Canis lupus familiaris: one gene and its partner. The protein of the gene in region 2 purifies or fractionates together with the protein of the main gene of each other region. This does not show direct contact. Links are inferred from orthologs where the notes say so. Each region holds a gene or a part of one and is shown on either strand. Other genes may lie near its edges.

Region 1 (3,909 bases), on a different chromosome or scaffold from region 2:
AGAATTTAATTTGTGCTACAAGACATGTTGCATAGGAAACTATTTAAAGCCCCTGAGGAAAAATATCCATGGTTTAAGGTGCAACTGGTTTTGTTTCTTCTTTGGGGAGAAGGTGAGAGATGATCTCTGGAAAGAATGAAGGTGGAAACGAGAAGCAGAATTTAAGGTTATTTCGTGTGATGATTGGGGAATTGCGTGTCCTGGTTCTTGCAGCATAAAAAAAAAAAAAAGTAGTGTTTTTCTCTGTTGATTTTTTTTTTTTCCCTAGCTGGTTGGTCTTCAGGATCTGAATCAATAGATATATAAGAATGTTCCAGCCCAACAGGGATCATACATTGATTACAGTAAGTAATTAACATAACATGTTTCAAGACAGCAGATTTCGAGCATGAGGTCCGCGAATCCCAATGGCCCACAAATCACTTCGCACAAGCCCACTGCATGTCCCGGCACATTCCCGGGAATCAACTCTTGATTTGCCAAATAATTATTCTTCAATCCTGCCCCTTCCTCCCCTCGGAGCTGCCGCAACCACAGTGCGATCGTGGAAGCCAACACTGCGTGCCCACACACAGCCAAGCCGATCTACAACCATAGAGGTCATCAATGCAATGCTCTGGCAAATCCCTGGCTTTAGGTTGGGGAACGTTATTTTAGAAAACGTCCATCCTGCTCAGAAAACCTTTATATTGTACATTAAAAAAGATGGAGTCCCCTCTGCTATTATTTCCTAGGACACGTGGGTATGACCAGAAAGGGAGAGAGGTGGATTTCATATAGAATGAAGTGGAGAGTTGGCCAGTGGCGGCAGGCACTGCTGCACACACATTAGCGCAGGGCACCCCTCGTGGTGAAGTCTCCCTAGTGGCCACAGGGAGGAGAGCCCTGAGCTCTCTTCTCCTGTGCCCCCACGAAGAAACAGGACCGGCGGTGGCTGAAGCCTGCAGGGACTACCACACTGCAAATGGCACAGTTTTCTTGAACAACCTGCATGCTGGTGGGGGCCACCAAGAATGCCAGCTCCCAGCTGTCTTTTCATCTCAAGGGCACCTGCTTGCTCGTGTAGGATTTTACTTTGCCAAATAAAGCTCAGAGAAGGCTTGCATGTGCTCTCGCTGACCGGTTACTGTAACATGAGGCGGAGGTACAGAAAAGAATGCAGGTGAAAAGGGACAGCAGGACCTGGGACATTCTCAGAAAGGATGGACAAGAGCTGGACTCATCTACTGAAAAACCATGTTCCTATTTGATTTACCCTTTATACAAGTAGAGAGCAAAAGAGGTCCAACACTTGAACAAGCGTCTCTCCGTGCTAAGTGTTGAAATGCAAAGGGTGGCTGGGAATCACAAATGCCCCCAGTGACCTTTAAATACATATATACATCTGTAACATAATTTAAAAAGGTCTTTATATAACATAAAAACCTCAACAGCATCCGCCCCTATTAAGGTGGGTTTCTTTTTTTTTTTTTTTTAACCTTTATGGTCCATTAAAAAAATTAGATACCACCCTTCTCATATGCCTCCCCTCATACTTTAAAAAAAGTGACTTTTAAATTTAAATTTATACCTAACAAATAGAAAGCTATCTGATTGGCAACAACCTGCAGTAGAAATTCCCTTCAGGCCCCCCCGTGATGGAGGAGGACCGTGGAGCATTGTGTGTGCTTGGTCCTTGGGTGTGGGTCCAGCCTCGAGGAAGCCCAGATGTGTCAGAGCAGCCGGCCCTTCCTCCCTCCCCAGCTCCAGGTGACCATGCGCCAGGTGACCACACGGGCCTCCAGGACAGGCGGAGGGCGGGTGCCCCGGAGCAGCAGCGGGTGGGCATGTACCCGCTCAAATCACAAAGTCGTCGTGGTCCACTGGGCTGAAGGCAGCTGCTCTCAGAATGTCCAGCGAGTTCACAAGGATCAGAGTCCCAGTGAGGTGTTTCCAGCGCTTGGTGATGGGGTTCTTCATCTTGTCCAGGCCTATGTGTAGCTCCTGGATGACGTCCCGGTAGCTGTCCCCGATCTGGTGGCTCCAGGTTAACAAAAAGTCATAGGCGGGTTTCCACATGGCCTGGATGGTGGAGTCATCCCAAAGAAAAGGAGGGAGGGGGAAGAAAAGATGAGGGAACAGTAAGAGATGTGATCCTATTATTCGATCCTATTAACTCCAATCCCTTTGCTCATTATTTATGTTTCTCATTGGAGAGTGGAACAAACCCAGAGAAACAGGTGGAACCGACTCTGTCCAGAGCCAGCACGTTTCTGAGGGAAGAACGTGTTTTGTGCGAGCGCAGGAAGGCAGGAGAGAGTGTCTGAGCAAACACGAAGGGCTTCTCTCCTTACAATCCCTGCTGCGGGCTGCCTGGGTGGCTCAGTGGTTGAGCGTCTGCCTTCAGCTCAGGTCATGATCCCGGGGTCCTGGGATCAAATCCTACATCAGGATCCCCACAGGGAATCCGCTCCTCCCTCTGCCTATGTCTCTGCCTCTCATTAATAAATAAATATATCATGAAATATATATTTAAATATATATAAATATATAATAAATAATATCATGAAAAAAAAAGGAAAATACCTAATAATCCCTGCTGCATTTTCTAGGCGGGCCATTTCTTTAGAAATTCACTGTGCTAATAAAGGACGCCCTTATTCTGGGACATCCTCCTTCCTAGGAATCTCAGGCCAAACCCAGCTTTCCAGAAGCTTCCGGCCACCCTCGCCAACAAGAGAGAAGACAAAGAATCTCTGAGGAGGAACCCAACCGGCTCCAGCCAACGTTACCCAACAGAGCCCTGGAATGTCACCAACACAGACCTGGCCAGTGACCGAGCAGGAGTGGCCACCAAGGGCTCCCTTGGCACTCTGCTCTGTCTGACGGATGGTCACTTAAGAACGGGACAATCAGGGGTGGGCGGTTCTGCGGACACCTCATGCCCAGCGGCCTTGTCAGCGGCAGGGCCGGACTCCCAGCCAGTGGCCTTGAGGAGGAGGAGCCGCGCCCCACCCGGGGGAGCCCACCACGTGCTGGATGCACACTTTCTCAACCTCACCCCCGTCGACACGCTGGAAAGCAGACACAGTCGTGACTGAATTCCACAGCCCAGGCTCACCTCACTGTCCACGACCCCGTTCCTGTCCCGGTGCGGAGACTCGTAGGCGTCCATCTGCTGCTTGGACACCTTGGCGAGCTTCTCGGCCAGCTCCCGCCAGCGCTGCGCCACCTCCACCGCCGTGGTCAGGAGCACAAAGTCCTGGATGAGTCTGACCACCAGGCCCTGGCAGTCCATCTTCAGTAAGGCCTGGGGAGGAAGGAGCAGAGCACGAGGCAGGTCAGAGGGCAGGCTCTGCTTTCAGAGGCCACACACGCTTTACCTCCAAAGTTCAGAGGCCTAGAAATGTGCCCCTTGGGCCCCAGCATGGCCGAGGCCCACAGGATGGAGGGAGAGCAATGATTTTTGCAGGGTGGACTGGGTTCGACTGCGCTCTCTCCCCAAATTCACGTCCACCTGCAAAGTCAGAACGACTGTATTTGGAAATAGGGTGTTTGCAGGTGTCCTTAGTTAAAGCCACCTGTCCTGGTGGGTTAGGGCAGCACCTCATCCCGTGCCTGGTGGTCTTTATAAGGAGGGAGACAGAGACAGAGGGAAGAAGTCCACACAAGGACAGGGGCAGAGGTGGAGGTGAGGAGGCCCCAAGACAAGTAGCGTCAGGGACTGTCGGAGGAACCAGGAGCCAGAGGCAAGGCCTGGCCCAGACCGTGCCTTCCAGAGGAGGAAGCAGGCCCGCGAACACGCCTCTGCTGTGCTGGGCCACCCAGTCCGGGGCGCGTCGCCTCGGCAGCCTGGGGATGCTGACTGATGGGGCGAGGGTGGACGCTACCCTCTGCCCTGTCCTGACTCCCGTGGGAGCAGCTGGAGAC
Region 2 (3,909 bases):
TACAATTCCCAGAACACACAGCAAGCTCCTGGTCCAGCCCCAACTGCCCCAGAGGCTGGCTTTGAAGTAGAGCAAGGATAGCTCATCTGTCCTGGGAACTGAGCATCCTGGTCTGTACAAGGTGCATCTGTGTCTTTGTTTCTTGGACCTACCCTTGCCTGAGACATCCCAGTCTCGGGGCCTCACCAAACCTGGTGATGGCGAGGTCACCTGGTCCTCTCATTCACACAAGTGCTCTGAGAGGCTGCTCACTGCCAGTCTCAGGACCCCAGCAGGGGTGAGGGGGCACTTAGATGGAGGAGACAGCCTCATGAAAGGGCAGAGGCTCGGAATGGTTGGGGACCCTTTACAACCTAGCACATATTATGTGTTCAGTAAATATTCACTGATTTAACCAACAAGCGAGCAGTCCATCTCGATCTTGTCTTCCTTCCATGCACCCTTTCACACAGTTTTGCTAGCTCCTAGGATATTGCACTCTCCCAAAATGTGTTGTATCTCTCAGTCCAGCTTTCAGGCCTTCTGCACGAGCTGTTACCTCCACCAGAAGCACATTCAGCTTATTCGCTTTAGTAGCTGCAGACGTAGGACAGAGCCTGGCACGGAGCAGGGGCACATGAAATATTTGACGAGTGAGGGAATGAATGAATGAATGAATAAATGCCCTTGTCCATTGTACACCCCAGGAAGCAGGGACACTCGGGACCCTCCCTATTCATCTCGCTCCTCCGCCCGCTCGCCCGCCCGGAATGAATGCATCCTTTTTATCCGCTCACAGGATGGCCAGGCTGGGGCAGGCGCAGACAGGGAGGAGGACTGGGATCGGGGGCTGCCCTCGGCCCCTTCCTAGGTCTCCTAAAGGGTCAGCTCTTCCGGACGTGGCGAGTTAGCCTCTGCCCGAAACTCGGCCCGCGTCACCTGACTCCCACGACCGGCCCTCCCGCTCCTTACCACCCTGGACACCCCAGACGGACACTCCGCCGGCAGCACGTGGGCCAGGGACCCCAGCTCCCCATTGGTTGCTCGCCTCCTTCCTTCCCCGCGATTGGCAGGGGCCCAGCCTCAGGTCCCCCCTCCGCGCCCTGCGGTGGTACAGCCTGCCGCGGCTTTCGGCAGGGTGGGCAGGTCCACTGCGCCGCGGCGCGGGGGGGCCGGGAGGAGCCGGGCGAGGCGGAGGGATCCCTCTGGAATGCTTCCGTCGGGCCCACCCGGCGCTGGGCGGCGCGGCGCGGATTGGCCACGGGCGTCGGGCGGCCGCTCCTGATTGGCGCGCTGCGGGCGCTGGCCCCGCCCCCCGGCCGCGGCTGCGGGAGAGGCCCGGGCCGGAGTTTGCGGAGGGCCGAGCCCGGAGCGCGCGGGTGGCGGCGGCGGCGGCGCAGGTGAGTGTCCCTGCGGGCGGGGCACGGCCGCTCCGGGGACCCCAGCGCGGGCCCGCGGGGTCGCGGACCCATGGGGATCCGGCGGATCGAGCGAGTAGCGGGGGGACGGCCCCGGGGTCGCTGCTGGAGGTCTAGGTTGGGCCCCAGGATGCCTGAGGCCCCTTCCCCCGGAGGCGCCCATCTTCCCGCCGGGGGCCGGGGTCAAACACCTCCCGCCTCTGAGATGGGGTCGGCAGCCCACCCTGCCCCCTGCACTGCCCTGGACAGCCCCGTCCCGGCGGGCTCGGCATTTCTGAGTCCTGCCCGGGCACCTCCCTCGTCCCACCTTGGCCTCGACGCGGCCCTCCAGGGCCGAGAGAGGGACCTGGAGAGGACTGAGGTCCCGGTAATAATCATGAAAAAATCACCCCCGGCTAGCACTGACTGGACGCTTCCGTGTCAGGTATTTACCATGCACATCGTTGCGTCCAAACACCTCATGGAAGGTGCTGTTACTTCTTTTAGAGGTGAAGCAACAGACCCGGAGAAGTGGAGTGACTTGCCCAAGGTGACACAGCTAGTAAGTGGCAGGGCTGGAACTCGAACCCGTGCTTCGGAGTCCAGAACTGGAGTCTCAGCCGCTAGACTAGATGGCTCCATGGATCAGTGGCCCAGTGGCTCCGTGGCTCAGGTGTTCCCGACCAGCTCCTCTGCCCGCTGCTGCCTGCATCCCCCAACCATGCATGTATCTGGGCCACACCTGCTGGTCTTTGCTTCCCCCCAAGAGGTCCCCGGACACCAACCCTGTCTTGCCTCCCCGGACCTGGGAAGGCTTGCCTGAATACCTAGGTCCTAAGAAGAGAGTGACATCTGCAGGGGACATAGGAGGCCTGGATGCTGGGGTCCTTTGCCCACTGGGCCCCTCTGGAAAGCCTGCGCTGAGGCCCAGGCAGTAGGCGTTCTCCCCGGAAACACCCGGGAGCCGGTTTTTCAAGACTGAATCAGAGGCCTCCCGCCTCCCTGCCTCCCGCCTCCCGCCCTCCCCTCCAAAGCAGTATCCTACTAGAAAGGGGAGGTTGGGTGTGGTGTCTCTCCCCCCACCCAAGCTTTTGTCAACTCCCAGGAACTCCCCTCCCCACTTCCTGCTGCCCTCACTGTGATTCTGCTTGGTGGTGGGGTTGCTAAGTTTCAGGCCCCTCCCAGGGAAGCGAGGGTGGGGATGCTAGGATTCCAGCCAATGCGCTTGGACCCCCGGCTGACACTTTTTCCACCATCCCTATGTTCAGGTTTGAGGGGACACTGGGAATGTGGGGAGGAAGTGTCAGTTAGCAACCCCACAGCAGGCATGTTCTGAGGATAGGAGGGCTCAGAGAGGAGTCTGAATGAGGACACGAGGCACGCACACCCGTCCATTCTGCAAACATTTACTGAGCACCTCCCATGGGCCAAGCACTGTCCTTGGCACAGAGGGCATAATAGCAAACAAGACAAAAATCCCTGCTCTGTGGGAGCCGCCGTCCTAGTGGGGAAAAGGGCAGCAAGCAAGTTAACAAGTAGATAAAGACAGTACCCGCGGATGGTAGTAAGTGCGTGTGCTATGAATAAAATATGAGGGGGGTGGCCGGGTGGAATCTGTGGTAAAGGGGGTGGCTTTTGGAGGAGGCGACTTTGGAGACAAGATCTAAATGACAGAAAGAAGGTGGCCCAGCAAAGGTCAGGCAGGGGGCCCAGCCTGGGCAAAAACTCTGAGGCTGGATGGAGCTTGGGATAGTGTGTGGGGGCACGAGCTGCCGCCAGAGTGGCAGTTCTGCAGGGGCCTGTGGCTCATATTAAGGAGTTTGGGGCTTTTCCTCTGTAAAGGTAGGAGACCGCTGTAAGATTGGAAGCCGGGGAGTGACGTGATCTGGTTTACATTTTAAAATAGAGACACGAAGTGAAATAGCAGCCTGGGACTGAAAGACAAGAGTTCTGCCGGGATAATGTGTAATTAAGTTCATGGGCCTTGAGCTGTCTGGACCACAGGGGCAGTTCCAGCAGGCTGGGGCAAGCCAGGGAGGCTGCCTGGAGGAGGCCACCTAGACTAGGCCTCCGCGGACAGCAGACAGCAGAAGCACAGACTGGGATGTTCCTGGGCGGTGGGGGGGGGGGGGGTGGGGTGGGCAGGGGAGGAGGCCATAATAATAATGACAATACTAGTAACAGTTTTCTTAAATTGAATGTCAGGCAAAATGCTAATCGGGTTGTCTGCACAATCTCTTTGGATTCCCATAAGCACCTGGAGAGAGACAGGAATTCCACCCATTTTTCGACTGAGAAAACTGAGGCTCCATCACATGAAGTGACACTTGCCCACGACCACGCAGCTGGTAAGTGGCAAGGATGGGATTTGAACCCAGGCCACCCTCCTTGGAGCTCAGAGAAGTTAAGATACTTGCCCAAGGTCACACAGCTAATAAGTGGAGAAACCAGGTTCCAGACTCATGTTCTCAGCATCCCGCTAAGATGTATGAGGGGCAGCAGGAGGAGAACAGGGGAGGTGATGATGAGGGGT

What was found.
Region 1: the proteins of GIPC1 (region 2) and SH3BP4 purify together in Homo sapiens (affinity purification with mass spectrometry; 4 studies listed by BioGRID and IntAct, with this or other methods). This does not show direct contact. The link is inferred for Canis lupus familiaris from reciprocal best matches to the Homo sapiens genes GIPC1 and SH3BP4.

Annotation. Positions count from the first base shown.
Region 1 is NC_049246.1:46,410,099-46,414,007, reverse strand, and holds part of SH3BP4 (SH3 domain-binding protein 4), read right to left. Parts: intron 3,290-3,909; coding exon 3,101-3,289; intron 2,062-3,100; coding exon 1,837-2,061; 3' UTR 1-1,836. UniProt on the Homo sapiens protein: May function in transferrin receptor internalization at the plasma membrane through a cargo-specific control of clathrin-mediated endocytosis.
Region 2 is NC_049241.1:48,542,847-48,546,755, forward strand, and holds the start of GIPC1 (PDZ domain-containing protein GIPC1), read left to right. Parts: upstream 1-1,285; 5' UTR 1,286-1,379; intron 1,380-1,883; 5' UTR 1,884-1,938; intron 1,939-3,581; exon of another isoform or gene 3,582-3,630; 5' UTR 3,631-3,724; intron 3,725-3,909. UniProt on the Homo sapiens protein: May be involved in G protein-linked signaling.